2 linked regions of the Astyanax mexicanus genome follow. The protein of the gene in region 2 interacts with the protein of the main gene of each other region in a pairwise test. Links are inferred from orthologs where the notes say so. Each region holds a gene or a part of one and is shown on either strand. Other genes may lie near its edges.

The links.
Region 1: the proteins of srebf2 (region 2) and nfyc interact in binary tests that used the Homo sapiens proteins (3 or more experiments, as listed by UniProt). The link is inferred for Astyanax mexicanus from reciprocal best matches to the Homo sapiens genes SREBF2 and NFYC.

What each region holds. Positions count from the first base shown.
Region 1 is NC_064410.1:49,638,301-49,655,014, reverse strand, and holds the start of nfyc (nuclear transcription factor Y subunit gamma), read right to left. Parts: upstream 8,480-16,714; 5' UTR 8,327-8,479; intron 7,960-8,326; exon of another isoform or gene 7,935-7,959; intron 2,305-7,934; exon of another isoform or gene 2,106-2,304; intron 1-2,105. Other genes in the region: uncharacterized protein si:ch211-13c6.2, read right to left, coding at 10,574-10,773, 10,936-11,644, 11,738-11,839, 11,911-11,982, 12,451-12,502, 13,085-13,910, 14,590-14,656, 14,990-15,109 and 2 more. UniProt on the Homo sapiens protein: Component of the sequence-specific heterotrimeric transcription factor (NF-Y) which specifically recognizes a 5'-CCAAT-3' box motif found in the promoters of its target genes.
Region 2 is NC_064410.1:8,704,119-8,720,752, forward strand, and holds the start of srebf2 (sterol regulatory element-binding protein 2), read right to left. Parts: upstream 6,255-16,634; 5' UTR 6,033-6,254; coding exon 5,942-6,032; intron 1-5,941. Other genes in the region: uncharacterized protein LOC111188799, read right to left, coding at 10,595-11,782, 11,927-12,249.

The sequences.
Region 1 (16,714 bases), about 41 Mb from region 2:
GGAGCAATTTGGGGCAAAGGGATGGTGGGCGGATGTGTGTGTATTTAGAAAAGGATGGAAGTGTGTTTTGTACAATACTGAAAAGTACTACAGGGTGACTACAGCAGGCTGTAGAGCTCCCAAATGCCCTTGACTGTACAAACCTGCTGAATTTAATTTGTCCCAAACAGTTAAATTTTGTGTTTCCAGTCTAACTGCCAGCAGGTAGACACAACAAAATACGGTTAACATTTGATTTGGGGGGGAGGGGTCACCTGAAGGGTACAAAACCCATTTGCCTAGCTATGTTCAGGACTCATTAACTACAGTGACATTCTCACACAGAGGACAGTCGTCAAAAGCTGCCCTGGTTGCTGTTGCTGGTTAATCATCTACTCGGGCAAAACAAGACATGGAGCGGCACACAGTAATGAATTACAAATTAACCGACAAATAACCTTCTGCTTGCTTTTATACCCAGCTTGGTGAATCTGAAGACTGTTCCAAGTGCGAAAGGACAACAGGCTTGTTTGCAGTGACCTGTAAGTAATCTGTGTGAACCTTCAAATGGCTCCAATGTATTGAACATGCCCTTGATTCAGCTTCACAGCAACTCCAGGAAACAGTTACTGATCTCTCAAGGTCATTCAATAGCAGAGAGGGGGGAGGGGGGGGACTAGGTAGGGAGGGAGAAAGAGTCAGGGATACTGTAACCACGAGAAAGTGGAATGAAAGCGAGTGGAGAGAGGGACTTTTGCTGCAGCACTTGGCGACCCAGTGGTAAACTCTCCTCAGAGTGCCCGTGTCCTCCCCAGAGAGGACGGAGGCTGATGGTGAAAGGGCCTCTCTTGTCTGGGGGCCTATGAGGGATGCACTGTCCTCACACTCTCACGCTCTCTCCCTGCTGACAGATCCACTGAGGGAACCGCTCTCACATTCCTGTGACCTTCATCCACCAACAGGCCTGGCTAGCACACCAAGGCATGACAAGCAAGTGTTAGCTCTAAAGGCAAACAGCTGTGAAAGTGTAAAGTTTGTCTTAAATGCTGGGGCCATTTTCAAGACACCCTTGCAAGTAAAGTGCAATACCCTGATTTGAAGTGTGCCTGGGTCAAAAGAAACACCACGCGAAAAAGGTCACCTTTAAGCAGATCGCTGCTGTTTGCAGCACTGCTGCACATTATATTTGTTTTCATTCACTTTTTCTGGCTCACATTGCCAACAGTGCAGTGAGGGCTTCAAATGATATTCAAATCTCATGCAAACAACAAATTGCAGTGGGATTTGGCAGTGAGGGCTCCAACTCTGAGCTATTTTTAGTTCTCCTCCCCCCATTGGGACACCGCACTGTCAGAGGCTCCAATGGAAACTTTCAATTAGAAGGGGAACAGAAAATGCAGTGGACTACAGATTAGTTTGAGGCTTATTAAGTGAGGGGGAAGTACCCTATTGGAGATAACAGCGCACAGACAAGGACCTGCCACAGCATCGCTCCCACGGTGCCAGCTCAAGTTTGTCCCCTAGACCCTACCGCCATATTTGCCCTCTGCTCTACATCACTGTCAGGAAAGCGTAAACAAGCTATGAAGGACTGGGCCTTGAAGGTGAAGCTGGTCTCCTGTGCAGCCGGACGCTTGCCATCTTCCGGCATCGCTCGACGCATACAAGAACCCATGCAGCGGACACATCTGTGGTTGGTTTTTAACAGGTTCATAGTTAAAACCAATGCTTCAACAAGAAGCCATTAGAAGTACCCGCCATCCATCAATTAGTAACAAGAGTTCAAGAAGATCAGGCAGAGAAAGTACACCGGTTTTAAAAGTCGAGTTGACAGATTTGTCTGCACACCTAACCTTTTTGCACTGCTGATATGCCTAAGTGAACAAGTTTAAAGTATATTAGTTCTCATTGTAAAAAAAGGAAAAAGAAAACCATTTAAACTAAGGGGAAAAGTAGAGGACGAAGGGAGGAGGGGAAGCATGGTGGAGGACAGAGGAAGCATCTCATTTCCAAAACAAGCGAGAGAGAACAAACAAGAACAAGAAAAAGATTTTAAAAATGATCTAGAAACAAAAACATCAAATACATGCTTATGGCGCTGTCTGAAGGCAGTTTGTCACACTTACCCCATGCCCTTCATAGTGCTCTGCGGACAGAAGAGGAGACAGATGTTCGGAGCCGAAGTCTCCTTCGGAGGCAGACAGGAAAAGTCTCTTGTCCACAGGCACTCTGTCCCAGAAGCAAACAAAAGACTGTGTGGGGCAGGCTGTCCAGCGCTGCACTCTGAGCCCAAAGCCGAAAGCAATAACCTAAAGCCCCCCTTTCTTCTTCTTCCTCTTCTTCTTCAACCCCTCCCCTCCCCCCTTCACTGCCCCATCTCCTCTACACACACCCCCTTCCCTAAACACACAGCCCCCTTCCATTCCTGCTCTAGAGAGCCTTCCAAAGACAGAGTTTGTCTCTGCCAGGCAGCCCTGGTGTTTGTCTTTCAGCTGACCCCTGCTTCAGCTCGAGCAGAGTTGCCGGGAGAGCGGAAGAGAAAGTGAGAGAGAGACAGAGAGAAAGATAAAAAGAGGGAGAGATAGAAAGAGAAAGAGATGGGAAAAAAGCGAGAGAGTCGGAGGGAGAGATACACACAGAAGATAGTCTGAGCAAGTCCTGGACAAAAATCTCCAGCCTGCTTTCCCTTTAACACTTGAAAGTAATCAATCTAGCCTGCTACATGATACTTACGGCCCGCCTCTCTCACAAACCCCCACCCATTTCTCCCCCTCTTCCAATCAAAGACTGTCCGCTCTCGCGTCTATTGGCTTGGCTGACCGTCCACCGGCTGTGTAATTCCACCTCCCCCCTCCTTTTCCTCACCCTCGGTCTACTCCACCCCTTTTCACTGAGAGTCAACTTCCTGTTTTAAGTTACCTTGAGCAGTAGGATAGGGGTCAGGGAATGAAAAAAGGAACAGAGAGAAAAGAACAGGCAAAAGGAGAAAGTGGGGGGAGAAAAAAAAAGGACACGGGGTAAAGGACAGCCTCTGCCTTCTAGCCTTAAAACTCTCCCCCTCGCTACCTCCCTGCAAATCTCTTCTGCTGCCGGAGCTGGACTGAACAACTGGCTCTACTAACAACTGTCCCTTGCTTATTTACAATGTCAAACAAAATGTCTCTACAGCCCGCCCCTCCGAGGAGCACAGTGGCCGACTCGGCGCTGATGCAAATCACCTCCAGAGCAGCCATTGGCTCAGAGGGGTGTCAAGGAACATGCCGCATGCTGTCGCCGGATGATTTAAAGTGGAATGTCATACAGGGCAGATTTGCAGGCACATACATGTGCAAGGACATCCGTGCTCTAAAGGTGCAGGCAATGTGCAGTTTATTGGTGAGGATTAAAGCATTAGCACAAGACTACGTGTATGATGTTTTGCCGTTAAGAAATCAGGAAATACACTGACCAGCAAAGGTGACCTTAAGTCATTCAGCCTAAATACGCTGACAGTTGTCAAAGGCAGGAACAGACAAACACAATTGACCAGAGTTTAAAACTATAAAACAAACCAAAAAAAAGAGATGTTTTCTGTATTATGAATAAACTATAACATTACATAGTTGTGAACAAAAATACCAACATCTCATATGAATTAGGATATTATGAGTATAGAAAATCTCATGCAGCAGTTTTAATAATGTAGACAGATGCACCACTTACGCAAAGCTCAATTATGTGTGCAAAAGGGTACAGTACGGTAATTCATGAATCACATTTCAGATGACCTCACTTCTCACCCAAGCTGACTAGGTCACAATCACACAATTTATAGAAATGGCAGCAGGTAAAAGCAGTAGATGGTATTTTTGCTTTCAAAGATGCAGGGGATGGTGGAATGACCTCAAGGTTATTCCTGTCATTACAGCAAATCCCCACTGTTCTGAGAAACTAAACAGCAGGATGGAACACACACAGACCTGCATATTCAGGGAGAGATGGGGGAGGGGGCAGAGATGGAGGGTACGAACAGAGGTTGTGTTCTACAGGATCAAAATGTACAAGAAAAAAAAAAAAGCAGAGTGAAAGAGCAGGTCACCAACGAGCTTGACTGAGGCGAAGCATTACTGATTTCAAGCGTTTTGGACACACAGTACACTGGTAAATGATTACATAGCAGCAAGGCACAGGAGATTATGGAACAGCTGGCCAAAATGCCATGGCTGCATTCTCTCACTGCTACCTGCAACACCATCACGACCCCTGCTGAGGGCAGTGACTAGATTTCTCCCTCATGCTTGTTATGCTTAGCCCAAAATGCAGCGTTATGAGTAGCTTACAAATATGAGACAAGTTATCCATGTATGCAATTAATTTAATAAATAAGATCTGGCCATCACTGATTCTTGTAGTAGCTCTTCTGTGTACCTAACCAAACTTAAATATGTAGGGCGTTAAGAAAACCATTTTTCCCAAATTCTCTCATCTCGATAAATAAATACATACAACTAAATGCATTTTTTAAAATGCACATCAACACATCTATAAATGCATAGTTTAAATTAGTCATTTTTCCATAGGAGGGCAGAATTGGTACTCTGGTGCTTGCATTGCTTTGATGCACATCCTTTGAAAATGAGTGAAGTATGCCTGCGAAAAATAAGCATGTCTGCAGCTACAAAATGCATGTATAAACCACCATATGCAATGTAACCTACTGTAACAAACTCCCAGCTAAATGAATTACAAAGCTTCTAATGGTTTATTTTTTACACAATATGGACTCCTCTAAGCAACTGTCTAAAGAAAAGTTCTGAAAATGAAAATAAAATCAATGCCCACAAAAAGACAATATGCATTTCCAGCTTGTGGTAAGTATAGTGCAAATAATAAGAATCAGCAGTTCATGGTCACGATGTGATATAAAACAAAAATGTATATATGACCACCAATAACCAGCAAAAAACATTAGGGTAATCATTAAAAACTAAAATCTTACCTGCAACTTGATCAAATATAAGCAATTATATAAGAACACAGACTAGCCAGACGAGTTTTGAAAGTTTAAACAGTGGTCTGGTATATCAAACATCACTAGGAACAACCGTGACTGTGCTGGGAAATTTGCTGTGTGAACAGCAAAGGTGGATGGATATGTGGGAAGCTGTTTACTAAATAATCCATAAAAAAATGCAGCTGAGTGAAATGGGACCTAATTAACCTCAAACTGAGCTGGATATATCTCACATAACTGCGCAACACTGGGTTAAACAGGATAACTAACAAAAAAGGTAGCCTATTTCCTAAAAAAGCTCTGTAGATGATTTGAGTGCAAAACCTCCCTTTACACCAGTCACTGGTTTTAAAAATTAAACAGTATGTCTGCAACTGCGCCCTGGATAAGGCTTACAAAAGTAAGCATTACAAAAGTTTTAACAGACATCTTAACAGGTTATGACCAAGTCAGATCAAGGTGCACTATCATGAGAGTCATGGTTTCCAGGCATGCCATTCAACTGCCACAGAGGACCTCACTTCCTGTGTTACAGCAACATTCACTGTCTTTGGGTAATGTGGTTAGAAACAGCGGCTGAAATATTAAATGCACTGTGTCACTCAGCACAGACTGTTCAGCTGGTTTTATATCCATGAGAAAGCAATATAATGCCCAACATGCTACGACTGGAATTAATTCACTGCAAATAGGCTAAGTAGAGTTTACTAGATAAATGAGATCAGGAAGTACATAATCCTTTGTAGTAAATTACAAAGGCTTTCCATTAAGTAAAGTCCTGGCTTGGAGGCTGGGCTGAAGAGCTTGTTTTAATTGCATCTGATTATTCTGGATTAAGGTGACGAGCACCATGACAAATCATATCCCCAAATATGCCTACTGGAGCTGTACAGCATCACTAGTTATCGTTATTACATTCTGCAGAGTCCGTTTACACCGATATTATCATACATAAAGTATGTGAAGGAGGCTCCTTATATTCCTAATTTAAGGCAAATTTCCATGACCATACAATTTTTAAAACATGAGTGCAGACATGGACAATAAAACCAAAAATCAACTAAACCTATAATATAATATTATATGATATAATATATTTATAGTAGGCCTAAAAATGGATCAGACTAAATTACTGAATTAACTTCGAGCTGATGTATTTGTAGCTCAAAATAGATTTTCTCTGCTGACAAATGGAAACAAAAAGATTTGTAGATCAAATTTCCATGACTTTTCCATTTTCTTTTTTTATTTTTCCAAAACTTATCCAGGACTGAAAATTGCCATTCCATTACTTTTCCAGGTTTTTCATGACCATATGAACCATGTAAAGTAATCTAATTTGTGGTGCAATTAAAAGGATTATGCATAATATAACCTCTATATTTTATCATTGAAAAGATTGGCATTACTTTGTGGGAGATCCAAAACTAGCCTGAATCTTCTGAATACTTTTAGTGCAATAAAAGGAAAAGTGATTACATTTTGTGCAGATGTTACATTTTTGTCACAGGTAGTTAATTTCATTGTTTTTTTAGACATGCACAGCAATGTTAACTATTTGAAAAATCAGCATTTATTTAATGTACTCTGTAGTGAACCACAGGCTCCATACTTAGTAAGCACAGAGATGAGTAAGGTGAAATGATTTTATTCAGAACTGTGAATGTGAGTTAGACTGAGAGCTGTCAGGAGAAGAAGTACTGAAGGTTTGGGCAGTAGAGCCAGAAAATGAAAGGTCAAAAACTTCTTGTATCTTGTGGTGATTCCAGTTTTTTTGGAAATTAGAGTACACAGTTACTGTAACCAGTAACTTGAACACAAACACAGTGCCCCTGAATAAACCCTACTTTCTGAGACCAAGCAAGACTTGATTTATATGTTATAGTAACTTTGGAAATGTTTGATTTTATTGCATGTGGCATATGGCAGATTTAATGAACCAAAGTCCTAACTGAGATTTACTGCAGATCATCAATAATGTCACGATACTAACAATGCACTCCATATATCCAGAAATGAAGTAAAATAAATAATACTGTACAAATAGAATCTGTCTCTAGCAGGTACTTAATGGGAAATTAGAAGTGTGAATTTTCCTTTTGCTACAAAGAGCAATTGTTTTACCCTGATGGTCCATATGGTGCTAAAATATACGACTATATATCAGGGTATTTTTGAAATATTTTTGCTCACGTTACGATATGACATCTGTTATGCTGCTCAAAAGTACCTATAGCTTTGATCCCAATGATCAGTCTGTCATTTGATAACTAATATCCACAGTTTTCCTTCATAGAGGGTTAACTAGCTAAGGCTACATATTATAAATATATAACTTATATATATGGTTAGTTAACTACTAACCTATCACTAGCTAACGCTAGCTATTTTGGCACAGACATTAACTAGCTAGTTAATAAGTTAGCAAGCTATGTACAAACAAATGTTTACCGCGGGAAAGCACGAAAATTAAAGTTCTTACAGCCTGTTTGATGGAGTATTTGCATGTTTTTTTGTTTTATGTTGTTTTTTTTAAACAGTGTAAAGTGATGCTATAACCAAATATGTAATATTTGTGCTCGCCGTAACACAAACCCACATGACCATTAGCGTTAGCCTGCTAACACCAATCTAAGCTAAACTATGTTAGCTAGAAATCGTTTAATAAATATAACCCTGTAATGAAAGTGAATGGCAGCGCGGCTTCTGGCTCAGCAGTAACACAGTGTAGTTACTGTAAGCCAGTATGATCACTAGCCTTATGAACGCCGGCGGACAGCGTGTTAATGTGCGTTTTAAACAGGAGCTGGTGAAAGTTTGGAGACAATGCTCGCTATTATCAGCAGGCCGCGAGTATCTTGTTTGTGGACTAAAAGCGGAGCGATGCGTCCAGTCACACATCCAGCAGCCCCACGCTAAAGTGTCTTAAAATATTTGTAAAGCGCTGTAAAGACATACTAACCAATAAAGACTACGTTTGGATCTGTCCTTCAGACCAATCAAACCCCGGACTAGATTCCACCAATCAAGCTTTCTAAGGGCTGGCGAGTTGAAAACCAACGCCATTCGGGCTCAACACAAAGCCCGCGTTCAACCGGCCGCAGCGGAGCCCGGAGCCAATATGGCGGATAGTGGCCGCCAGTTTCCCGACCGCCTCCATTCCTCTCCACTAGCCACCAATAAGCGCCTCAGAGAGCGAGGAGGGAAATGGCGCCCATGTTCATCCTCCAAAACAATCATTGGATGAGGCCGTTCATTGGCCGAGGGCTCTCTCATGACCTCCGCCTAATCTAACCCCAACCCGCCATTAAAACCGAGCCGGAGCGGCGCGTCGCGTCCCGCTGTTGTACTCACTCTCGGTGATGAACCCGTACAGCAGTCCTGTAGTCCTGTAGTCAGTCCTCTTCAGCGCTATTTTAATTTAATTCAGGGTGATACAGGAGCCAAGATGGCCGACGCTTTGACAACTTCTTTTCAAACCGGAATAAGTGTTACGTTTACCGTGACGTTCAAAACAGAAACCCACCTGTAAAGCGCGCAGTCCACCTGTATTCCGGCAAGCCCCGCCCTCCGCCGTTACGATTGGCTCGGCGAGAGCAGCCCGCTCATTTCAACTGTGCATATTTACACAATAATAAAAAAATAATTATAATAAATAATAATTATAATCTTTATTTATACAGTACTTTTCATACACAAGTGCAACCCAAAGTGCTTTACACAAAAAAAATATACACATGAAAATGCTAATTTAAATAAAAATGTTTTAATACTCTTTTTAAAAATGTGTAAAGATGAAATGGCTTTGCGTTCCAAAGGTTTGGGCCATAATAGCTAAAAGCAGCTTCCCCAAATCTCAACCAAGTTTTGTGAATTACCAGTAAATTACTGTGGATTGTTGTCTTTTTTTAAGGGATGAAAGACCCTTCCTGCATATTCAGCAATTTATAATGTTAATTTAATGTGATATTCATTAATTTTTACAAACATATATAGCTGAGGCAAAGCTAATGCTTTCTACCCTGTCATTGTAAATTATAAGGAAATTAAAATGTATATTTGAAACTGAACAATGTCACCATGAACTCTATTGGTGATTTCAAATGGTGAATTCCAATGATCATCCACATTTTTATTACAATCCACCCTGTTGTGCAGCTTTATTTTTGATAGTCAAATGTTAATGCATATTTAGTAGTAATAGTAATAAAGATGTATATGCCTAAAGTGAATGTTCAAAAAAACTTCACTAGATGTACTCGATTGATTTTCTTTACCAATTTAATGGTTTTTCATGCAAACATGGTTTCCCTACCAAAAAAAACAAAACAGCCTGGGTAGAAGTTTGATGGTTTAGCTGGTCTACAAGTTCAGTTGATGCATGATCAAACTGCCCAAGCTAAACCGTATAATCAAGCATGACCCAGGGTACGAGGCTGGGGACAAAAGATGAGGGACAGAATCACTTAGCATTATTTATTAAAATAGCAGATTTATGGGAAAGACAACAGTGTGCTCCAAAATCCTTAAATACATTATATGGTGAAATGTGGACACCAATTATTTTAAAGTACTGGCTATCAGTACTCATTATGGAGATCTACCTTCCTGCATTTTGACATGTACAGTCAACAAGTGAAAAAACATGAAGTAAAAAAAGGTAATATGGTCTCAGTAATGGTACATAAAAATACATTTTCTTTCGACCGGCATCTACTTCCTCCTTTTATGTTTTCAGCTTCAGCTACGCTGTGTCCTGCAGTAGTAGGTGTCCTTTTTTTGCTGTCACTGCAAATCTGGTGGTTTAAACCATGTTAGATAAGTTTGAACACATTCATTTCTCCATGGCTCATTCAACAACTAAAACTCCTCCCAGTAATGTGTCTCAGTCCTTTCGGAAAGCGTTTTTTTTTTTTTTTTTTTACAGTACTTGGTCCCTCAGTCAAACTTATGAAATCCTCAAGTGACGCATGTAAACATCCTGGGTGTGTAGCAGGGCAGTTTGTGAATGTGTGCATCTGACCCCATTTACCAAAAGCCAATTTACAAAGCTGAACAAAATGATGAAACATGTTGTGAAATTGTCATTGTGATGTGTTGCTTTGGGATTTAAACCTTAAAAGATTTACAGAAGTTTTGTGACCTTGATCACGATCAGAAGAATCATTAATGGGCTGCTCAATATAACTGATCCAATTATTTTGAATCAATATTCAAAACTGGGTCTGGGCTCTTATGGGATAATTATTTTCATACTCATTATTAGGAGTCAGAAAGTCTGCATTTTCCCCCCCAATGTTAACACTGAACAACTCGGCCAGAAAGAAAATTGACATGAGGAATTAAGGAAAGAGACAGAAGGATTTTAGGAACAAAAATTTATTTTTTCTGGTATTTTCTGCAACAACAATTCTCTTTTAGATTCAGCCAACAATTCAAAAAGATCAAAACAACTACAAATGCAATATACAATCCAATCAGAACAGAAAAGAACTATGTCTGTTATTCATTTCTAATAGACATGACACATTTATAATTAACCGTTACACAAAATAAGCAAATACAAATCTATGTACATTACACTTAGGAATCCTTTCAGATTCAGTTTCGTGACACAAGCTCCAAGAGAGTGGAAGCCAGCTTTTCCAGACTGGAGGGGGGTGGTGCTGGTGGTGGAGACGATGATGGATGAAATGGATCGTAGAGTTCTGTACTTGGATCTACGTGGTAATGAGGCATATGCGCTTGGTTCTCGCCATATGCCTGATCTTCTCTGAGCGACCTGGTTTTCCAATGGCCCTCTGAAAAGATAAGTGTGAAACAAAATTGGGATTTGATCAGCTTTTAAATTTTCTTTTCGACCCTTTATTTCTTCTAAGATTTAGACAATAAATATACGCAAAGTATAAAATATTCTAAACAGACATCGAACTAGAAGAAACTAGAACTGCTCATCAGCCTACCTTGATAAGCTTTTCTTTCAGCATCTGGATGATAATCCTTGAACTCATCAGACCGACCAGTCGATCTATTTCTTTGTGCACCCCATTCAAATTCATGCTGAGCATCAACGCGTCTGAAGTCACGATCGCCATGTCTTCCCAATACTGCTCCTTCAAATTGTTGTTCGTAACTTCTGTTTTCTTCAGTACCCCCGGTGTGTCTCATGCTCTGAAAGATTCTGGGGTCCTCTTCGACATGTCCTGCTCTTGAGCTCTCTTTAAAACTGCTGGCCTGCCGGTATGCTGAAAAATGATCTTCAAAATGTCCCGCTTGCTGAACATCCCTGGAGTTGTCACATAACCCTCTTTCCTGTTGAAAAGCCATACGATTTTCTCCAAATTGGCCACCGTGTTGAAAATCTCTGGGATTGTCCTTGAACCTTCTTGCCTGTGGGAAATCTGATTGAGAGTCTGCATAAGGTCTTGATTCTTGAAAATCTGTAGAACGATTTTCATATCTTGTATCAGGTCTCTGGTCTTCAACATATCTTGGGTCCTGAACATCTCTGGTATTTTTCTCTGGCCATGGCCATGTCTCTTTAACGCCCGTGGAATCATTTGTTAAATTTCTAAGATCACGGTCATATCTTGCGGACTCTCTTATCTCCTGCGCGTTCCTCCGCTGATCCATCCATACGTCACTCCTGTACTCTCTGTCACTTGGAGAGACCTGGGATGTGTTTGAGGAGTGGAAAAAAAGATTTAGAATTTATAAGATAAACCTTATTTTAGAGTAGTGAAAAGACAAGGATCCAGTTCAAACCTCAGAACGCTGAGATTTATTCGCATGAAACTGCTTCAGAACATCGCACAACTTTTGCTTCAAGAAGTTAGCCTCTTCTGCACTGTCAATTTGGACCCCATCCTTAAAAAAAAAAAAAAAAGTAAAAACACAAAACAATGACAGTAATTATTTGTTTAATCGTCTACACTTACCAGCACGTCCAAAACATTTTCCGAGTTCACAGCAGTGTGCATCGAATCTAAAGCCCTTCTTTCTTCAAATACCTGTATAGACATTTTTGATATGATATTAGGACCAAAAAAAAAAAAAACAAATACACTTAAGGACCTTTGGCCAAATGACTTTTGTCATTTTGTACTTGTAGTTGTTAGAGCATCTGAGGCCAACAAAACATAAAAAACAACAAACCAACATGCCAAATGTCACTGGGCAGAAGTTAATATGACTTCTGCCACATAAGCAACACAAGTGACCCGGTGGATCAAATAATGTTAAATACCAACAGACAGTCAGAACGTCTACATTACTGTTGAGTATTTACAACAAAGTTTAGCAAAGTGTTGTTTATGCAGTACTTTAATGGACGAGTCATAAGATGCAAACCTTGCCTGTAATCTAATCACAAGAACGTGATGGCAAGAAATCTCATTAATAGATGTTCAACGCACGCACGCACAATGATCTAGTGAGTACACATGCTTGGAGCAGTGACAACTTTCCATTAAACACACCTGAACTGGGCCTCTACTTTGATTCATGGGTGGAAATGTGCCTTCTTTAAACCTGAAAAAAATATATATACATTGGAAATCTTAAGTACAAGGGTTATCAAAGTGAATCATAAAAGATACAAAACTAGCACATATAACTTTACATATTAAAAAAAAATATGAAGTTTGTTAAATTATGTAAAAATCATGTGTAAATGGAGGTATAGTAAAATATGATGAGTAGAAACTTTTGTCACACAGCCCACCTCTGATCACCCGCAGCATTCTGAAATGCAACACTTTTTGCAAATACTCCCAACAGGCTTACAATGCTGGTGACAGGTGCAAAGAAACGGCTATTTTCACACCATTAACAAAGAAAATAAAAAAGTTTATTAAAAAAAGTGGCGATGTCTTTGCATGGGCAATGCTATGCCCCCATCACCAGCACTGTAAGCCTGTTGGGAGCATCGGCTAAAAGTGCTGTATTTCAGAATGCTGGGGGTGAATGGAGGTGGGCTACTCCACAAAAGTTTACACTTATCATATTTTACTACACCATTTTCACCTCTACAAGTTGATTTCACACTGGATTTCTTCTTTAAAACATGCTCCATTCTTTGATAGATTGCCATCAATTGGAAATAGACATTACCTCCTCTGTGCAAGCTCAACCTCCTTTGGTGTGGCATCAGAAAATCTACTCTCCCTTTTCTTTTTGTGTGGGACATGTTCCTGAGCATAATCTCCCATACCACCCCTTTTGGCATATTCCTGCATCTCATAGGTTCCAGCTCTTGCTTCTCTTATCATAGTTTGGAGATAGTCTGTTCCTTTCTCCATATTCTGAAAGCTTCTGCCAGGTCTTTGCATCTCCTCCATACTATGTCCTCTTCCATCACGTGACGCGTACATCTGACCACGAACCTGTCCGACCATTTCTTCTGGGTGCTGAGCTGGACCACTCCTGTCTGTGTCAGCAAACCTGCTTCTTGGAACACCGCCATGATAGAGATCCTGCTGTACAACTCCACTCGAGTTCCACCCTCTTCTGGGATCCATTTCTGGGTAGTACTGATCCTGATGCTCATTGCGATAAGAGCTCCCTGGAATTGCCTTGTCTAGATGGTGTCTTCCACTACCATCACCCTCTACAAAAGACCTTACACTACCATCTCCTTCAAGATATGGTAATTTTTCTTTGTAGCCTTCATTTTGATAAGGTCTTGGTCTGCCATCTTGATAATATGCATTTTCAGGTCGGTCAGTGTTTGGATAAGCTTGCCATAGAGCTGCATCACCTCTGGGACGATCATTCTGGTCATTCCCATGAAATTGAGATGGCTTCCCAAAAACATTGTTTGGAAAATCCGGTTGTCTATATCCATCTGTGGTTAAGTGAGCCTGCCCTCTCCAGTCTTGGCCATAAGATGATGCTTCATATGCGTGAGAATGAGAGCCTTGTGTTGGTTTGGGGCCTGCTGTGATTTAAAAAAAAAAAAAAAAAAAAGGTGTCAAACTGTTATTTTTTTTTTTCAATTAATAATGACAAAGAATAAAAAAAAGGGTTTAAAACTGAGATTTTCAAACTGTGGACTGGTGGTGTTGAGCCATATTGCTATATTAAGCCTAAAGATGACAAATGCTATTGTTTCCAGAAACATACATGTTTCAGCTTAGGTTATTAACATTAAGCTGAGGACTAATACTCCTATTTTCATTCAGTGCACTCACATGCTCACAAATAATAATTATTTCTTGTCCGTTAGCTAATTATTGCTGTTTTTATTTACACACAAAGATTAAACAGAAAAAAGAAATAACTCTTTGCTGTAAAGTTATTGTACGTTTGCACATCACATTTGTTAAAAGTTCTTGTTATCAGATTACTAAGGTCTTTTTAAATGTATTAACAGAAAAACATCAAAATTTCAGCAGTTCATCATTATTATTAAGTGTTTGTAAATGCACTTACTATTGTAATCAAGTCAATGTAAGAGTTTAATATTTTTTGGTTATGTTGTGCGATTACGCACACAAGTGATTTATTACATGCCACACTGAATATTGTTGTGCTTTATATTTGTTTCCATTTTAAATGCAGGAGATACTATGCTTGCTTGAGGTCCTGCAGGATGGAAAAGAATGAAAACTCCTTACCTTGTTTAGCCTGTTTCAGCATTGAACGAGTTACTGGCCGGAATTTCTCTTTGGGTTCTTTGATGGCCTTAAATAAAAACAAACCAGAACATAAACACAAAAATCCAAACTTAAATAGCAAGTATGATTTAATATATTAAATATTGATATTTAATATATCAAAATTTTTTATTTTACACTTTTATATACTGCTTTTTATAACGGATAAAATCAATAATACTGAGAGATGGAGGTGACGTAATATTTCATAGTGAAATATGCCAAACTGAGTATTTACAGAGTTTAAGTAAACCAGTCAGAACAGCTACTTTCATACAATGTGAGCATATTCTATTCTAAATCATCACAGACAAAAATCAAATATTTCATAATTTAATAATTTTTCATTATGATTACGTACCGAAGGAGTACCCCATCCATCTTGCTTCTCCACAATTGCAGCCTTGGCTCTGGCAACAAGCCCCGGTTGCTTCTGTCCCATACCATTGCTTTGGGTCAGCAAGTCTGGCCTCTTCAGTTGCTGTGAAGTTGTGTTACAGGACCCTTTAATACCACTTTGGTTAATTAAAGACTATGTTATAGTCAGTTACTTTACAATACATTAACTGTAGAAAGAAAAAAAAAGAAAAAAACGTGTTCTTAAATCTTACCAGGTATCTATGGCGATGCTTTCGGCTCACAATGTGAGATACCATAGAACACATGATGCCGTCAACATTACACATCTTACACTTATAATTCAAATAGCATCTGCCATCCACAAAAGTATCCTCCTGCTGCACCAAGGAATCCAGTCCTAGAATAACACAGAATGTGAGCATTATGCTATGAGAATGGGTCTTATTTAGACTAAAAACTGGCTGGCAATTAACTGTTGAGTTAAGATTGGCATGTTACAACTCGCAATAAATGGTAGATTTTACGATGCTGTCTTACCAATAATGGGCTCATCAAGTTTCAGGTAGTCCAAGTACTGTAATATATCGGTCCATTCCGGTAGTTGCCGTGGTGGAGGGCCAAGGTCTATTGAATTCCATAAAACAGTCAAGAAACATTGTACAACAGCTTCACTGTGCAGAAAACTGTACATCTGCTTCAGAAATGAACTTACAACACTTCCATTCATTTTTTACATCAAAACAATCATACAGAGTGTAGACCCTGTCACAATAATTACAATACTGATTAATTGTAAATGAACCAAAAATTAGAAAGATAAATTAGCAACTTAGTTGTATAGCATGTATAATATATATTCAAATTCTAATTACTATTGACTTCACATGGGTCAGATATAGAAACCTAAAAGGCTGGATGTGGCCCTGGGGTCATACAATACACAGGTCTGTTTTAGGCTATGTCCGGAACATGGCTATCATGCGAAAAGCAGCCATATTTAAGGATTTAAAGGGATAGTTCGGTATTTTTGACATGAGTCTGTATGGCATCATCATAACCAGTGTCGTGCATCCACACTGACTTACCCCCCACAGTGTCCTGTGAGCCGAGTTCTTGTCCAGTTTAGGTCAAAGCGAAAGTAGTCCGGCATGTTTGCTGGGGTCAGGAAAATAACTCCTTTTTCTTCCCAAAGCAGTACGTGTTCAAAAGAGTGATTTATTTACATCACAAAAAACTAACCCTGCAAAAGTCACGCCTCGTAAATCACTTGGGTCCTACTTTCTCTCATTTCGTATCAGTGCGCATCATTCTGACAGCGAGCTGCGCACGCGTCAACTTGTTCTGTGTTTTGGCAGTGCTTAGCAGCTGTGTTCAGACTAGCAACGCAAACGAGCTAACTTTAGGGAGAAGTCTATTGGCTTTTATAAGCTTTGTAAACACACATATATATATATAGCTAGGTGTGTGTGTGTGTGTGTGTGTGTGTTAAAATGGTACGGACTTGTGACTATCCAGGCTGTAGCAACAAAGATGTGGCTGATTCTCCGCAGAGTTTTCATCGTTTTCCTGTGACTGATGTTGCTCTGAGGAAACTTTGGGTACTAGCGCTGGGCAAAAAAAAGGAAAAAAGTTCTCAACACACCAGCATTCAGGAGTGCAGGGAAGTCACTGTTGTTTGTGATGCAAGCAGCTGCCCCGCTGACATCCTCATCAATGGATAGGTCTT
Region 2 (16,634 bases):
TATTTGTTTTGCCATTTACTTTTAATTGTTTGCAGTTTAAAGACATAAAATATACTACATTTAATATTTGCAGTTGTGTATTGTGTTTGGGGTGTTAAAGAGTATAGTCATGGAGGATGGAATGAATGTAAACTATGCAGACACTCCCACCCTCATCCTCACACCTCACACCCTTACACACTGCTTTCACACCAGGGTGCTGAAGCGGGTCACTGATGACCATTCAGGAAATATCACATTCCCACCTCCACTGACTTCCCCACCCATATTACTGTAACCTGTGATCTAAGCTACAGTAATGTGATCTGACAGCACACAGTATAAACCTCCACACAGAGTGTAAAGTGATATCACAGTGCTGTTCATTACACAGAAAGTCTGTGATTGGACAAAGTAGGCATGCACAATAATATAGGAATTATATTGGTTAGTGATGTATCCGATTTGATCAGAAATAAACAGAAAAGGGTGGAAATGTGACATTACATTGTCCACATCTACGTGCTGTAAACACCACACATTTGCGTAAAGCGGAGAGTGGGCGAATAGAAATATGCACTAGAATAGTGATAGTTGTCTTTTTGGCTCTATAGTATTCAATGACAACAAGTAGCGACAAGGCTAATGTACTGTCCTGTATATTGTACTGTACATTTCTATCAGTTGGCCTATCAGTGGGCAAGGATGGCAGTGAGCTAGTTTCTAAGTATGAAAAGTATGAAAAGCTGACAAGATCAGAAGAGCGAATCAAATATCTGCGTTTGGAAATCTGCTGGCCAAATTTCCTTGTGCACTTCAATAAACAGTAAGAGAATCTTTAATAGAGTGCCCAACATCCTTGATGAAAAAGGAACCACCTCTCCACTGACAGGGTTTGAGATGCTGATTTTCCTTAAAACCTACTCTTATTGAACATGTTGTGTTCAATAAAACCACGCAAACATATATATTTTTTGTATTAGTTTAGGCAGACTGTGTTTGTCTATTGTTGTGACTTAGATGATGATCAGAAACACATTTACTGACCAATTTATGCAGAAATTCAAGTAATCCCAAAGGGTTTACATACTTTTTCTTGCAACTGTATATATAACTGATTAAATAAAGCACTGTTCTGCTTTTGATTAAATGCCTGTACCTGTAATTTTCCTCCTAAGCAAAAAGAAAGGCTGGTAAGATGAGTGGCATTTACAGCTGGTACCTGCCCACAGTAGCATCACACCTTCACCTACACCATCCCTGAACTGATGAAAGGTCAGAAACGACACTCTGGCCTTGAGAGAGGAGATTTACTGCCCTCTATTTGTCCACTTCAGCCAAGGTCACCTGGAGGAATGACCTTGATCTGCTGAGTGCAACAGGTGCACAAATGGTTGTGGTACAGCACAGGAAACCTCAAAAGTGCAATTTTAATCAAACAATTACCACAGCAGTGCTTTTATAGTCACAATTTTCCCCAAGTTGTGCAATACTAATTATTATACATTTAATTCAGTAGTACTAATACAGATACAATTATTCTAATCATAAATTTACTAGTGCTAATCTAGTCAGATTAGTTTTTAGTCATATATTTGCCTCGGCAATGCTATTCTAACAAAAAAAAAACCCTCAGAACTACTAATCAAACAAATTTACCTCATTAGAGCTATTCCAGTAACAAATTTACCTTAGCACTGCTACTCTTGTAATAAATTTACCTCAGTAGGGTCAGAATCAGATAATGTATTCATTAACATGGATTGTTTCCTTACCCAGTTTGGTTAGAGAACTTTCTTTTAGATGAAAAGTGGAGGGCTGAGGCAAAGCTCTACAAAGTTTTCACCTTGTTGGTAAACACAGCTGATGTTTGTCTGAAACTTAAGACATATTTGAGGATATATCTACACTCTTACATACAGAATTGTAACTGGCATCTGCAAGCATTTTCATAAGATGTTACTGTGGAGCTCTGTCAAAGTTTAGCTGCTGTGGAAGACAGAGGGACTTTATTCCCACTGTGTGTTTGGGGGCTGCTATTTTCATGGGCTGGAAAACCTTTCACTCCATGAAAATAGCAGCCCCCGAACACATGGTCCAGATCAGTTGATCAGTTTATTTATTTAGAGCGTTATCTCCCTCTGTTTGGTTTGGTTTCACACAGGTATAAACCTAAACGCACCAAAATGCGCACCAATAACCCATGCAAGCACGTTGTCTCCTCTGATTGGCCAGAACTGTCTGGTGCAGGAGCAAGAAAGTAAATATAGCGTGAAGATTCTGTGTTCCAGCGCGTATATATCTGTGCAGTATGAATCTGTTTTAAAACAGAATGCTGAGAATTTGTAACTGAGCTTTTAAACACAGTATTTTTAATGGCAGGTGCAGTGCAGCTGCGAGCAGTGAACGCTGTACATTACTGCATGTGTAAACAGCATGGAGCAGCAGAGACAGCGTTTGTTAATAGCAGTATATCATCTGGCTAATATATCAGACTAAACTGTTTAGCTCAATTAAAAAGTATGTATGAAATCTGCATGTTGGCTGGAGGTGGGGCATATTATGGTGGAAGTTACGACAGGGGCAAACTTTGTGGTTTAATTAATTTGCGCTAAAAATAATAACTCTTTACTGATTCCAAAAGAATTGTGTGCGTTAACACGTTAACATTGACAGCCCTGGTAAAAAGTAATCTACATTCTGACCTCAACAGTAGGAAAGTGGTAAAGTAGCATCACTAAATAATACCCCAAAACATTTATTTACACTTTAGACTTTTAAACATTAGACAGCATTACTATCAATTTCTGGCAGCAGAAAGCAAAGTTGAGCGCAGAAACCTTACAATCAGTTGTCACCACTAACCCTGAACTTTCAGCCTCGAACACATGCACCACACGTTCCACACGCCTCCACACGTCTGCAGGCCAACTACTAATGTTATGGTCAGAACTGGTAATACAGCAGCAATAATCAAACGCTATCTAATCAATTAGCCCCACTATCTCACTAACCGAGGTCACACTGCTGTCCTTCCATTATACTGTTCTCTATCAAAGTGTGCCATCAAAACATGGCCAGATACACTAATGTCTACTGTGTGATCATCTTTATTATTAGCAAGAGTTTATTGATGTGGCACTATCTGTCTGATAGCAGATGTGAGACAAGTTTGATAACAGATCTGATAAGACCTGCACCGAAGAACTGAACACCTGCACTCCGTCTGAGTTCAAGGATGTTCTGAGAAAGACACACCACTTTATAGTCATACTTTATATTTAAGAAAAGCGTAACTTGCTCTTATGGTCTAAAACATTGTAGACAGACAATCAGCCATTATATAAAATATAACTGAATACCCAGCAAATATAGCCCTGATTGGCAAGACTACACACAACCAATATGCAAATAAATGCTGCCAGAAGCCAATATGAAAGATAGACTTTGTGTGTTTCATCTTAACTCCACCCAGACAAAGTGAGTACAAACTACTACACTTCCGAAGAGTGAGCCTAAACTCAACCTGCAGTCTAACTTAGAGAATATACTCAAAAAATCAACACTGTAAATCTGCATGCCCAATTCTGCTCTCAAAACCGAGATCAGTAAGTGTGCACTGTCTACACACACAGCTAAACACACACCAACATCAGTACACACTTCATCTCTGCACTCCTGGGAGTGCATAAGAGTGTACACATCACCCCGCTGTAGTTACTGAGTAATAACCTGCTGTATCTGCACTAATGACCCCCATCCCCATCTGCCTGAGCTCGACTGCCCTGAGGTAAATGAGCCCCGTCAGGAGCTAAAGTCGACAGAACAAACAAAAGCACAACCGTAACACGAAAGCCTACTGTCTGTACAATATATTACTGTTACTACTACTACTACTACTACAGTACATACAGACAGACAATACAAAGGACCACATGGGTGGTCAATATATGCTTTATAATGTCCCCTTTGTAAGAGTTATGGTTATATGCCCTATGATTGACACTATACACCTTCCTAAAATAATAAAAAATTGTAAAAAATACTTTTTTTTTTTGTCTAAATCATGTCTTAATATTGCTGCATGGCCATATGTTGTAAAATTGCCTACACCCTCAGTTGATCATATCATTTGATTCTACCTCTTTAGGATAATGGCCTGTGTCAAGAGTGTGACTTAAGCTAATTCATTAAGCCTCAGTCAAAATAAAATAATATTTTCATAGATTTCCAATACCAGGCTCCTTTACTGAACTAATTTACACAATTTACAGCTCATCCTCAATTGATAAGTGAGGAGAATTGTGTAGTTCGTATTATTAAAGAATGTTGGTTATGAATATTGCATTGTTGTTTAGGCTTATTATTGATTTTTTTTGTCTGAATTTTAGTCTGCGAAATAGCTAAGTCCAAAAGCTACATAGAAATGCTCTATAATTTGTGGCTGGTTAAAATCATAATTGTTTTCTGTCTTTTCAATCAATATTTTCAGAATTTTCAATTAGTATTGTTTCTGGTTCTACTGCGAGACTGTATGATAAACTATCATTTTAAACCACTGCTCATTTTTAAATAGTTTTTTTTGTGTTTCCTGAAAAACTTGATAAATTATTTTAGGAAGGTGTCAATACTGTATACAGAGTTTCAATAGATACGCTGCACTGCTGTGTCTAACCCACTCATACCAGCAAAACACACACCGACACACCACCACCTTACGGTCGCAGTCCTGACCACTGAAGAACAGGGTAAAAGGAGGATAATATAGTATATAGAGAAAATGTAGAGAAGAATATTATAGAAGAATATAATAATATGTATAAGCCACTATACACTCTATGTAGTGTACTTTAAAAGTGTTAAAGCCAGCATATATACTTAAGTGTGTACTTTATACTGTAAATCTATAAGCCATTTATACAAAATGTTGTGTACTATATTGGTCTACAAGACAGTATGTACACTGTATAGTATACCGTACAATTAGTAACTATTATGTGTACTATATTACTAGATGTATAAGCTAGTATAAACAGTATCTAGTGTTCAAAAAAGTATGTAAAGTGTACTATAATACAACTATATGCCAGTATAAACACTCTTTGTAGTGTACTCTATAGCTAGGAACATAAGCCTGTATATACACTTTTGGTGTACTATATAAGTCTATATGCCCGTATATACATTATGTACATTATAGCTAGGGAAATAAGTCTGTATATACAGAGCTTAGGGTACTAAACAAGTCTATTAGCCTGTATATATTATATAACCTAAATTTCTTGCCTCTTAGTGTGTTTGATAGCATCAGTCGAAAAGTTGTAAAGAGGCAGAGTTGGCTTAATTAATCCATATATAGTTCTAATCCATATTATAAAAATAATTACTTAACTAAGTAAAGAATAAAATAATAAGTTAAAAAATTGAACGTCAATGATAAACATCAGTCAATCTTAAAAATTTCAGGAACTTTGAAGACCATCAAAAACATGATGAAACTGGCCCTCATTAGGACGGGCCCCACAGGATAAGTTACCAGCCTCAGGAACTGCAAGTTAACAGCATCACAGATAAGAGCCACCTGGTATTTTGGTTTGTTTAACAATTTAAAGTTATTACATTATTTTTTATGTGTTCCTTTATAGTGTGGATGACTTCAATATTAATTTACAATGTGGGGAAAAAAAGATGTGCCCAAACTTTTGGGGGGCTGTACACACACACACACACTTAGTGTATTGTAGTTGTTTAGTGTACTACACAGTGTATAAGTGAGTATATAAACTATGATAATGCAGTAACGTTACTACTACTACTATCACCATCTGACTGACTGACTGACCTGTCTCACTACTGTACACACCCCGGTTACACACACAGAACATAGCATATAACGCACTAAACAGCGCACAGAGCGCTCAGACACTAGAGACACGACCACAGCAGAGCCCGGTCTGTTTACCGTCGATATCCCCGAGGGTGAACTCGTCCCCCAGCTCGGACAGGGTCGGGTCCATGTTCTCCATGGCTGACAGGTACTCTCCGCCGTCCATACCAGCGGCGTCCCCGGTTCCGGTGTCTCCCCGGGCGGGTCGGGCAGCAGAGGAGGCGGTGCCCGCTCTGCCTGTGTGTTTGAGGAGTGGGGGTGTGTTTTAGCCTTAAAACCGACCCTGAAAACACCCCAAAATACCCCAAACCGGGCCTGTCCGCATCGCTGAGCTGAACCGTCAGAACCCCCTTCACAAAACAAACGGAGCCATCTTGTTCCACAACGTCGACGTCATGCGCCCCGGGGACGCCTGATTGGCTCGGCCGCGGAGTGAGACCAGGCAGAGTCGACCAATCACAGCGCCCGCCGCTCCGTGGTCTGATAGTACGTCGATGAGCAGAGGCGCTTTGTGATTTGAATACGACCCGCCTCAGACTGCTGGCCACGCCTACTCTGGTTTCGCCTATTGCTCTGAAGCGGGATCTCATGAATATTCATGTATCTGAGGCGGATGGGCGGAGCTACTCCTCTGTTATGTTGGTGTTACATCATCGCCAACTCCAAACACAAACATTATTCTAACTCAGATCTAAATACTCTAAAACAGGTTCATAAAAACATAAATTCAGATAAAAATAGATTTAGAGCGTTGTAGTGTAGAAATACCATATATTAACAGGATATGATATAGTAACAATAAATGTATAATTAGTTTTATAGCTACATATAATAGTTTTGTATTAATAGTAGGCGTACACTATGTAATAGCATGTTTATAAAGGTATAGTAAAATAATTTTTTTTTTTTTAAGTTTAGTGTGTTTATAATAATTGTTCTACAGGGCACAAGTTCAACACAAATAATATTTTAATAAGTTTTATAGCACCATAATATTTTAAGCAGTAGGTTATATTAAATGAGTAACAGTGTTCAGGTTCATATTATAAGAATTGTCAGTAAAAAGAAGTTTACATTATTAGTATTTTTTTATCTTGAAGTACATGTTCAACAGAAATATTATTTTAATAGGTTTATAGGTTCAGAAGAATATAATTGATTACTACACATGTATTTTTACATTTTATTGTAAGATTCCTACCATCAATAGTAAGTTTATATTATTGGAAATAAAAGTATTATAATTGTTCTAATTGTTAGACAATACATAATATAAGAAAAAGGAGTTCTGTGATGTCTTAACAATATAGATCTGTAGAAAAAAAAATAAGAGACCAATTTAGTTTCTGAATCAGTTTCTCTGATTTTGCTATTTATAGTAAAATAAACATTGTTGTTTGATTCCATAAACTATGGACAAAATTTCTCCCAAATTCCAAATAAAAATATTGTAATTTAGAGCATTTATTTGCAGAAAATGAGAAATGGCTGAAATAACAAAAAAGATGCAGAGCTTTCAGATCTCAAATAATGCAAAGAAAACAAGTTCAGAAATCAATATTTGGTGAAATAACCCTGCATCTTTGCATGTTCTCCTCCACCAGTCTTACACACTGCTTTTGGATACTATGACTATGCCAATCCATGTGCAAAAATTCAAGCAGTTCAGCTCGGTTTGATGGCTTGTGATGTTTTCAATTTGGTAAAATCAAAGAAACTTGTAATTTTTAAATGCTCTCTTATTTTTTCCAGAGCTGTATGTATAATTAATTAATGTACTCAGGGCTTCATTTCCTTAAGTTAGTGTTTTATAATGTGCATCACATCCTGTACAGCCCTGTTTAAACCCTGACCATTAAATTTTATTAATACACAGGGTTATCTGTGCTATAAAACAGGAAAAGTAAATATAATTCTGTTATCTGTGCTGGAGATATACAGGAGTGGGTGGGTGAAAACCACCTGCTGGTTGTGTGTGTGTGCATGCAAGGGCGTAGGAGCAGGTTTGATATTGGGGGGGACATATTTGCCAATATGAACCCAAGCCCACCCAATAGTTTCTTAGAACAACATTTGTGGAAATTACTTTTAATCACAAATAATCATTTTTTTCTGTATTTTGTTTTTTATTAGTTAACAAGGTGATTTTACAACCTAAACATGTTACTCCACATTACATTTACTGTTGTAAGAAAAAAATATGCATATACATATACATACAAAAATGATCAGTTATCACCTAATATTTAAAATAATATAACAGATTTGGTTATTATTATTATTATTATTATTATTATTATAATCATGTATTGGCATGTCAATTCTGTTGTATATTTACATTTTCTCCACTCTTTAAAAAAAATCCTACGCTTTTTTCTACTGAGAGCTCTTCTAAAGATTGGTGTCCTTTTATGTAAAAGAATGTAACTTTACGTTTCATAAAGGACATGTGGCCTTACTGTGAACCCTGTTCTTACATATTCTACTGAATATTAACACTGTTCTACATATTCTAGAGCTTCCTCTGCTTTAAAGGCACTTATTAAAGTAAGTGGTGGTATGATGTGTCTAATACACTGCTGGATATACATGATTAAACTCAGTAAACTCAGTAAATGACTGTTTATTAGCTGATCAGCTGGATCAGGTGGAAAACACAATTTTGGGGCGGTGATCAGGGTTAAGAAACTGCTTTAAACTACAAACATAAAGTACTGTACTACATTCTGGCTATCCTCTACATCCAGCTTCTAGCCAACTAGTTAGCTAAATTAATCCTAAATTAATAAAGACAGTTTAAAAATGAAATAGTGATTAGCTGATCAGGTACAGGGCAAGTTGAACATTACATAAATAGTTTATTTTTTCTTTAACGTTGACTTCCAATCTAACTAATTCCAAGCTAACTCACTTACACAGCTGCAGTTTATTAATCACAGTGTGTTTAATCTGTGTGCTGATTTAGAGTCGTGTATTTTTAACCAGCTATCAGAAACTTATCACAGTTTATGTGGTTAGCCTATCGTTACTTTTCTTTTAGAAAAATCTCCGTATATCCAGATCCGTTTTAAAATCAGCTGAAGCTGCGTCCCGATCCCGCTGCTAAATCTCACAGCGAGGGGGCGGGGCTTCCCCAACAGCAAACTGCCGGTCCTCTGCGAGCCGCAAAACGGATTGGCTGTTTCTACTGAGAGGCGGGACTTAATACCTGAGCCGGCTCCGTGATTGGTCCGGTCTGTCTCCTCATTAATAGTACAGCTGATCTGAGCGAAACGATATCATTTTTGGGTGGGACAAATCCACCTGTTTCCAATATTGGGTGGGACATGTCCCACCCATCCCCCCCGGTTCCTACGCCAGTGTGTGCATGAGTAGTAATACAGTAATAACAGTAATTAGTTAGTGGCCATCAGAACACACCCACACACAATGGTCCAGAAAAACAGGCTTTATTGAGTTCAGATCAGCAGACTGTTCCAGTAGAGGCATACACACACCCGTCTGAAGGCACGTCACCACAGTACATAATACTGTACTCAGCACCAGCATTTTACATCTGATCTCCACATCTGCTCCAGTTCTGCTCTACATCACACTCCCACTGTAATTAATACCCAACCAGTTCTGGACTGATCGTCTGAGTCGGTAATCAATCATTTTTTGATGTTTTGTTTTTTAAATGAAGTGCAGTGTAAATATGAGCTTCAGGTAAATATTTAAGAGCAAACCCCTTTACTAAAATAGTAGAAATGCACCAAAATGCAAGTTTTTGGCTGAAACCAAAGTAAAGGAATAATTTGTCCAAATACTAAATACTGTATAGATCACATCAAAAAGATAAGTGTGAACAGCCTAAAAGTAAACATCGTATTAGGTGAGAAAATTTGATTTGGGTCTCTTTACCTTTTGTGTGAAAATTCTCAGAATACGTTTGTTGCAATAACTTTATGTGAGGAGCTGTACAGCTTCAGATGTTCTGCTTCCATTCACTACCTCTCTACACTATACTACTGTAACTGGGTAAAATTATCTTGAACCGAACATTTTACACCAAACGCCACTCTGAATCACTCAGTTCTCATCTTAACTAAACAATTAAGCAGTTTCTGGTGAACATCTGGTGAATAATTAAATTCAGATTTTGGTTGAAATGCATACCCCTGTTAGTTACTGCGGCATAATAAGTGCATTAATAATGGAACCCAGTTTAAAAAACTGGGGTTGGATAGCATCGATTAAAAAGCGATGGAAAAGCAGGTTAAAGCCCAATCCGGAGGGGATTAGTTTCTCAGGGGGATGTCTGTGAAAAATATTTCACACTTCTACTCAGTGATAAAACTCTTGCATCCGGACTGCAATAAAAAAAAGGGGGAGCCAGTGAGTTTTTTGGCTTTTTCGGTCACATGACATCGCGTTCAGTAGCTCCTCCATTTCCACTCGCTGTTGTGTTTACGTGGATCTCCGCGGAAACGCACAAATGGCTATTTTATTAAACAGAAAAGTGACAAAACTTGGAGATGTGCGTCTGGACAGGACTACAGTTTCCAGACGACCATGGAGTTTAGTGAAAAACAGTAGATAATTTAGCCTGTAATTATCTCAGAGAACCCCCTCTGAGAGAAAATTACCTCAGAACCCCTGAGAAACTAATCTCGTCTTGATAGGGCTTAAGACAGTGCATCATCTCTATGTTTTGTTCTCCAAGGCTACGTCTTTTAGCACAGTCCCTCATTTGTTCCAGTAAATCTCGTAGGAATGTCTCTCCGTGTTTCCAGCTGCAGACCGAACCTTCTCCTTCACCACCTTCACCACCAGCCCTCCGGCCACCACGATTCCCACCGCTGCCTTTCCGATCTCCGTCACTGCCGTGATGATCCGTGCTGTAGTTCCCACCGTGTTCAGAGCACCTGTTAGCCCGCTGCTAGCTGCCAAAGCATTCTGACCGCTGCATGCAGCGCCCCCTACTGTCTGCACAACGCCCCCGGTGGCAACAGCCTGCGATGCAGCCAGAGCACCCTCTGCAGCAGCACCCCCAGCGACTACAGCATTTGGTGCAGCGACAGCCGTAGCATTAGCGATGCCAACTGCTCCTCCGACTGCAGCCCCACCCTCAAGCATCGCCCCTATAGCTGCTCCCGCCCCTAAAGTCCCACCAACTCCTGCAGCCACGCCCACCACTATAGCACCCACTGTGCCAACCTGTTCTAGAGCTTCCAGTGCTGCCTCTCTAGGCCCGGCTGCTTCTGCCCCAGCCAAGGCTCCCACTGATCCCCCCAGAAGCCCCCCAGTAGCAGCCCCCACGGCTACCGCTGTTTTCCCAGTTGCTGCTGCTACAATCGCGCCAAGAGCCTTTCCCACCCCGCTCCCTGCCACAGACACCCCAGCAAACTGCCCTGCGACCAGCCCCACCGAGCTGCCCATCATGGAGGCTCCAGCTGCCATAGCCAGAGGGGCAGCAGCTCCAAACACCGCTCCCACTGCCATGCCTGTAGCTCCGGCTGTAACCAACACCTTCACCTGGTCTAGAACCTTCTGAGACAGAGCAGCTTCCCTGCGGAAGCGGCTAACGGCTAATCGGAGTGACTGGCGCCTGCTTCCTCTCCTCCGCTCTCTCTCCCTCCAGCTCCCTTCACTCATCCTTCCATCCCTCCCCCTCTCCTCCACCCCCTCATCATGTCTTCCCTCCACCTCTCTCCGTCTCAAGCCCTGCTCCAGCTCCGTTCGTCTTCTCTTAGCTATCGCTAACCCTCCATCCGGTCTCTCCACCTCCTCTCCCTCTCCTTGTCCTCTCTCTTTCATCAGTCTCTCCTCTTCTGCTCGGATGGCGAGTTCGGCCTGCTGGAACATGGCGCTGGTGTAGAACCGCCCCTCGTTCTCCTGAACCATCTTCTCCACCTTCTGGAGTAGCATTTTTACCTTTAGAACAAAAGCAGGACATCATAAAACCACTGCAGTAAAATAAGCAGTTTTGCTTTCTTTGTGAATATACATGCAATTTTCCAGTGTTCTTTTAACATCAGCCAGATCTAATACACCATCAAAATGATTACATTTATTTACCTGTGTTCTATCTCCCATTTCTTTGTTGTTTAGTACGTGGTATCGCCCCCCGCAGGTCTGCAGCAGATCCCTCAGCTCTCTAGGAACTTCCTCCCGACCTAGAAACCCCTCTATCCCACCACCACCCTCCTCCAGGTCATCTCCACGGGTGAAGAGCACCACTGTGTGGCGCTGTAGAGCCGTTTCCCCAAACACCTGGAGCATCTCTCGGGCAGCTCGGTTCTCATTCTCTGTGTAGCGTCCAAGCGGGACCACCAGCAGGAAGGCGTGGGGGCCAGGAGCACTCAGCGTCACACACTTAGCAATTTCAGTGTGGACTAGAGCTGCAACGATACAGAGATCATATCACAGTGTGCTTTATTAGGATATCCTGATGCATGTTACAAAATTAACCCATTACACGACCACACACATGGCACTGGGAGCGGATAGCTTCACACCAAAGTGCACTTGAAGTAAAGCCCAGACCACTGATTGAGGAGTGTGTGACAGCTTTTTAAGGTTTAAAATATTTACCTCGTAATGTCAAACAGGATATACTGTGTATGTCCTACAGCTGTAAACAGCAGAAAAACATCATATTGCGATATTTTGTTGCTATACAGCTCTGGAAAAAAATAAGAGACCACTTCAGTTTCTGAATTAGAGTATAATGAACATTGGTGTTTTATTCTATAAACTAAGGCCAACATTTATTCCAAATTTCTAATGAAAATATTGTAATTTAGAGCTTTTATTTGGAGAAAATAAATAAAATTTCAGAGTTTTCAGACCTCAAATAATGCAAAGAAAACAAGTTCATATTTATAAAGTTTTAAGAGTTCAGAAATCAATATTTGGTGGAATAACTCTGGTTTTTAATCACAGTTTCTATGCATCTTGGCATGTTCTCCTCCACCAGTCTTACACACTGCTTTTGGATTACTTTATGTCACTCCTGGTGCAAAAATTCAAGCAGTTCAGCTTGATTTAATGGCTTGTGATCATCCATTTTCCTCTTGATTATATTCCAGAGCTTTTAAATTTAGTAAAATCTGAGAAACGCATAATTTTAAGTGGTCTCTTCATTTTTTCAAGAGCTGTACATTGCAATATTAAAAACATAGGTATTTTCCCCAAACTTATTCAGAAATCAATAATCCAACATGTCACAAAAAGCACTCTGTGTCTCCAAGATAATAAACATAATGGGCAGATGAACTGGCTCCGGTAAGTATGTCAAAAATGAAAAATAACAAGTAGGAATTCTTCAGTTGTATCAAGCCAAATTCGAAAGATATAAACAAAAAGAGCTCGTAAAAAGCAAAGGAAGAGAACTTAAAGGGACACATTTTGGTCTTAACGATCAGTTCCCTAAGGAAATCCAAGAAAGAAGAAAAGTACTCTTTCAGATCAGAAAAGAACACATCAAGAAAGGAACACGCGCCACAGTCTCAGTAGATAGGCTGTATCTTGATGGAAAACTGTACAGAGATATGGAAACTACTCCATGGCTATATTAATCTGTATATATATATATTGTTTAATATAACACTATTCCATGGCTGTATTGATCCGTATATATATTGTTTAATATAACACTACTCCATGGCTATATCAATTTGTTTATATATTGTTTAATACAACACAAACCTTTAAATAACACCCGTAGCCTACATTAAGCTACATACAAACGACAAATGTCTATGTTTTTCACCCTTGGTGTTTGGCTATTTTTGAAATATGTGTTGTTCTGTTAAGTGTTTTCATTTAGAAATAATCTATTTTCTAAATAATGAGTTTTGTAAAAAAGGGGGTTCTCCAGTGTTAGATTCTGTTCTTTGCTCATTTATCATGAGTTTCCTTAGTATACTTTCCTACTGCCTTAATCAACGACTAATGACCTATTATGCTGTATTAAAATCCATAATATATCATAATGTCTACTATAAAAGTTGTTAGCTGGAATATTCGTGGCATCAATTCACCAGTGAAAAGAACAAAAAATTTTAGTCATCTGAGTAAGCTTAAAGCCCATATTTGTCTTTTACAAGAAACCCACCTCACAGATTCTGAACATGAAAAATTGAAAAATAAATCTTATAACCATGTTTATTGGGCTTCCTTTAACTCTAAAAAAAGGGGTGTGGCAATTTTAGTCAGTAAAGAGATTTCTATAATCCATAACTCAACCATAACAGACACAGAGGGGCGTTTTGTTATTATTAATGTAATAATAAATAACAAAAATTTTACTATTGCTAGCATCTATGGCCCTAATAAAGATGACCCAGCATTCTTTCACCATCTTTTTTCACAGTTAATGAATTATTCAGGCTCAACAATTATCATTGGAGGGGATTTTAACACAGCGTTAGATCCCAACATTGACCGTTCCAATATCTCTCCTTCCTTTAAAATATGGCATTCAAACGAAATGATAAAACAATACATGGATGATTTGGGTCTTAGTGACGGTTGGAGATTACAAAACCCACTGACAAAAAAATACTCATATTTTTCACCTCACCACCAATCCTTCTCACGTATTGATTTTTTTCTTATAAGTAATTCTATTGTAGCTGATATTGTTAAAACACAAATCCACCCAATTATAATTTCAGATCATGCACCAGTAAGCATTAGTCTTTTCTGTACTCAACCGAAGAAATCCTTTGGGAGATGGCGTTTTAATATTTCGCTTCTTAAGGACTCAAATTTTAATGAGTTCTTTAAGAAAGAATGGGAATATTTTATTAAAATAAATGATTCACCAGACATTTCTCCTACTTTGTTATGGGAAACAGCAAAAACTGTATTGAGAGGCCAGATTATTTCGTTTTCATCGTATAAAAAAAAAAAAGAACAAGAAATTGAAAATTCATTGGAACAGGAACTTGAACGTTTAAATAAAGACTATATTAATAACCCTAAGGAACATATTTTAAAACAGCTAAGGGAAGTGAGATTTAAACTGAATAATTTAATTGACACTAGAAATCAATTTTTGATTCAGAGATTGCGCACAACCGTGTTTGCACAGGGTAATAAATCAGGAAAATATTTAGCAGATCAACTTAAGCAAAAAAAAGAGAAATCGGTAATACCTGCAATTAAAGATGACAAAGGCAACATATTAAGCGATCCACACGAGATTAATAGAGCATTTTATACATTTTATAGCAACCTGTATAAATCCTACTGTAGACCAAATAAATTGGATATACAATCATTTTTAGACCCACTTTCTCTGCCGAAAATTAACTCACAACAGGCTAGCACATTGGAATTACCATTAACCTCTGCTGAAATTTTTCAGGCTATTTCTCAAATGCCCAATAATAAAGCACCGGGCCTAGACGGATACCCGGTCGAGTTCTATAAGCACTTTTGAGATATACTCTCTCCAATATTTATGAAGATGGTAGCACATATAAATCAAATAGAAGATGTCCCCCCCCACATGAATACAGCTCTAATATCAGTCCTATTGAAACCGGACAAAGATCCAACACTTTGCTCTAGCTATCGCCCGATATCATTAATTAATGTGGATGTTAAAATAATTAGTAAAACATTGGCAAATAGACTAGAATCAGTTATACCTTTTATTATCCATCCAGACCAAACAGGATTTATTAAGGGACGACAATCTTCAGATAATATGCGTCGTTTATTTAACGTTATCAATATCTCCCAGACAAAAAAAAATTGAAACAATTAAAGTCTCTTGATGCAGAAAAAGCATTCGATAAATTAAATTGGAATTTTTTATTTATAGCTCTTGAAACATTTGGATTTGGTAATAATTTCATTCAGTGGGTTAAAACATTATATCATTCTCCTAAAGCAGTAATCAACACTAATAATATAATATCATCACAGTTCAGTCTATATAGGGGTACAAGACAAGGGTGTTCATTGTCACCCCTATTGTTTGCTATATTTTTAGAACCTCTTGCATCAGCAATTCGCCAGAATGACCAAATAAATGGTGTAGTGATTCAGAAAAGTACTCACAAAATTAGTCTATACGCAGATGATATAATACTCTATTTACAGAATCCAAAAATGTCACTTTCCGAAACTATTAAACTGGTTAATACTTATTCAAATTTATCAGAATACTCCATTAATTGGAGCAAATCTTATATTCTACCACTAAGAAAAGAAGGTTGGAACGTGAAGAATGTAAAAAAACAAACTCTATCTATAGCAAAGAATATTAAATATTTGGGAATTAATATCTCTGCTAACTGGTCCGAGTTATTCTCTTTAAATTTTAATCCATTATTAACAAGTATACAAGATAGCACTCAACGATGGATAAAACTTCCAATAAACCTCTTAGGGCGAATTGCAGCTGTCAAGATGTTTATTTTACCAAAAGTAAATTACTTATTTAAGATGCTCCCAGTTGTACCAACCTATAAATGGTTTAAAGAAATTAATTCAGTGATTAATCAATTTTATTGGAAAAACAAACCTCCACGAATCAAATTATCCATACTACAAAAAGATAAAAAACACGGTGGACTCAATGCACCAAATTTTCTCCAATATTTTCTAGCTACCCAACTGCAATATGTAATACACTGGCTACACCCAAATTCTAAAAACCAGTGGATCGATATTGAACAGTCGGAAAGTGGAGAAATAAATATCCAGAATCTTCCATTTTTAAGTAACTCAGTTAGGGCTGCCACGATTAGTCGACTAGTCACGATTA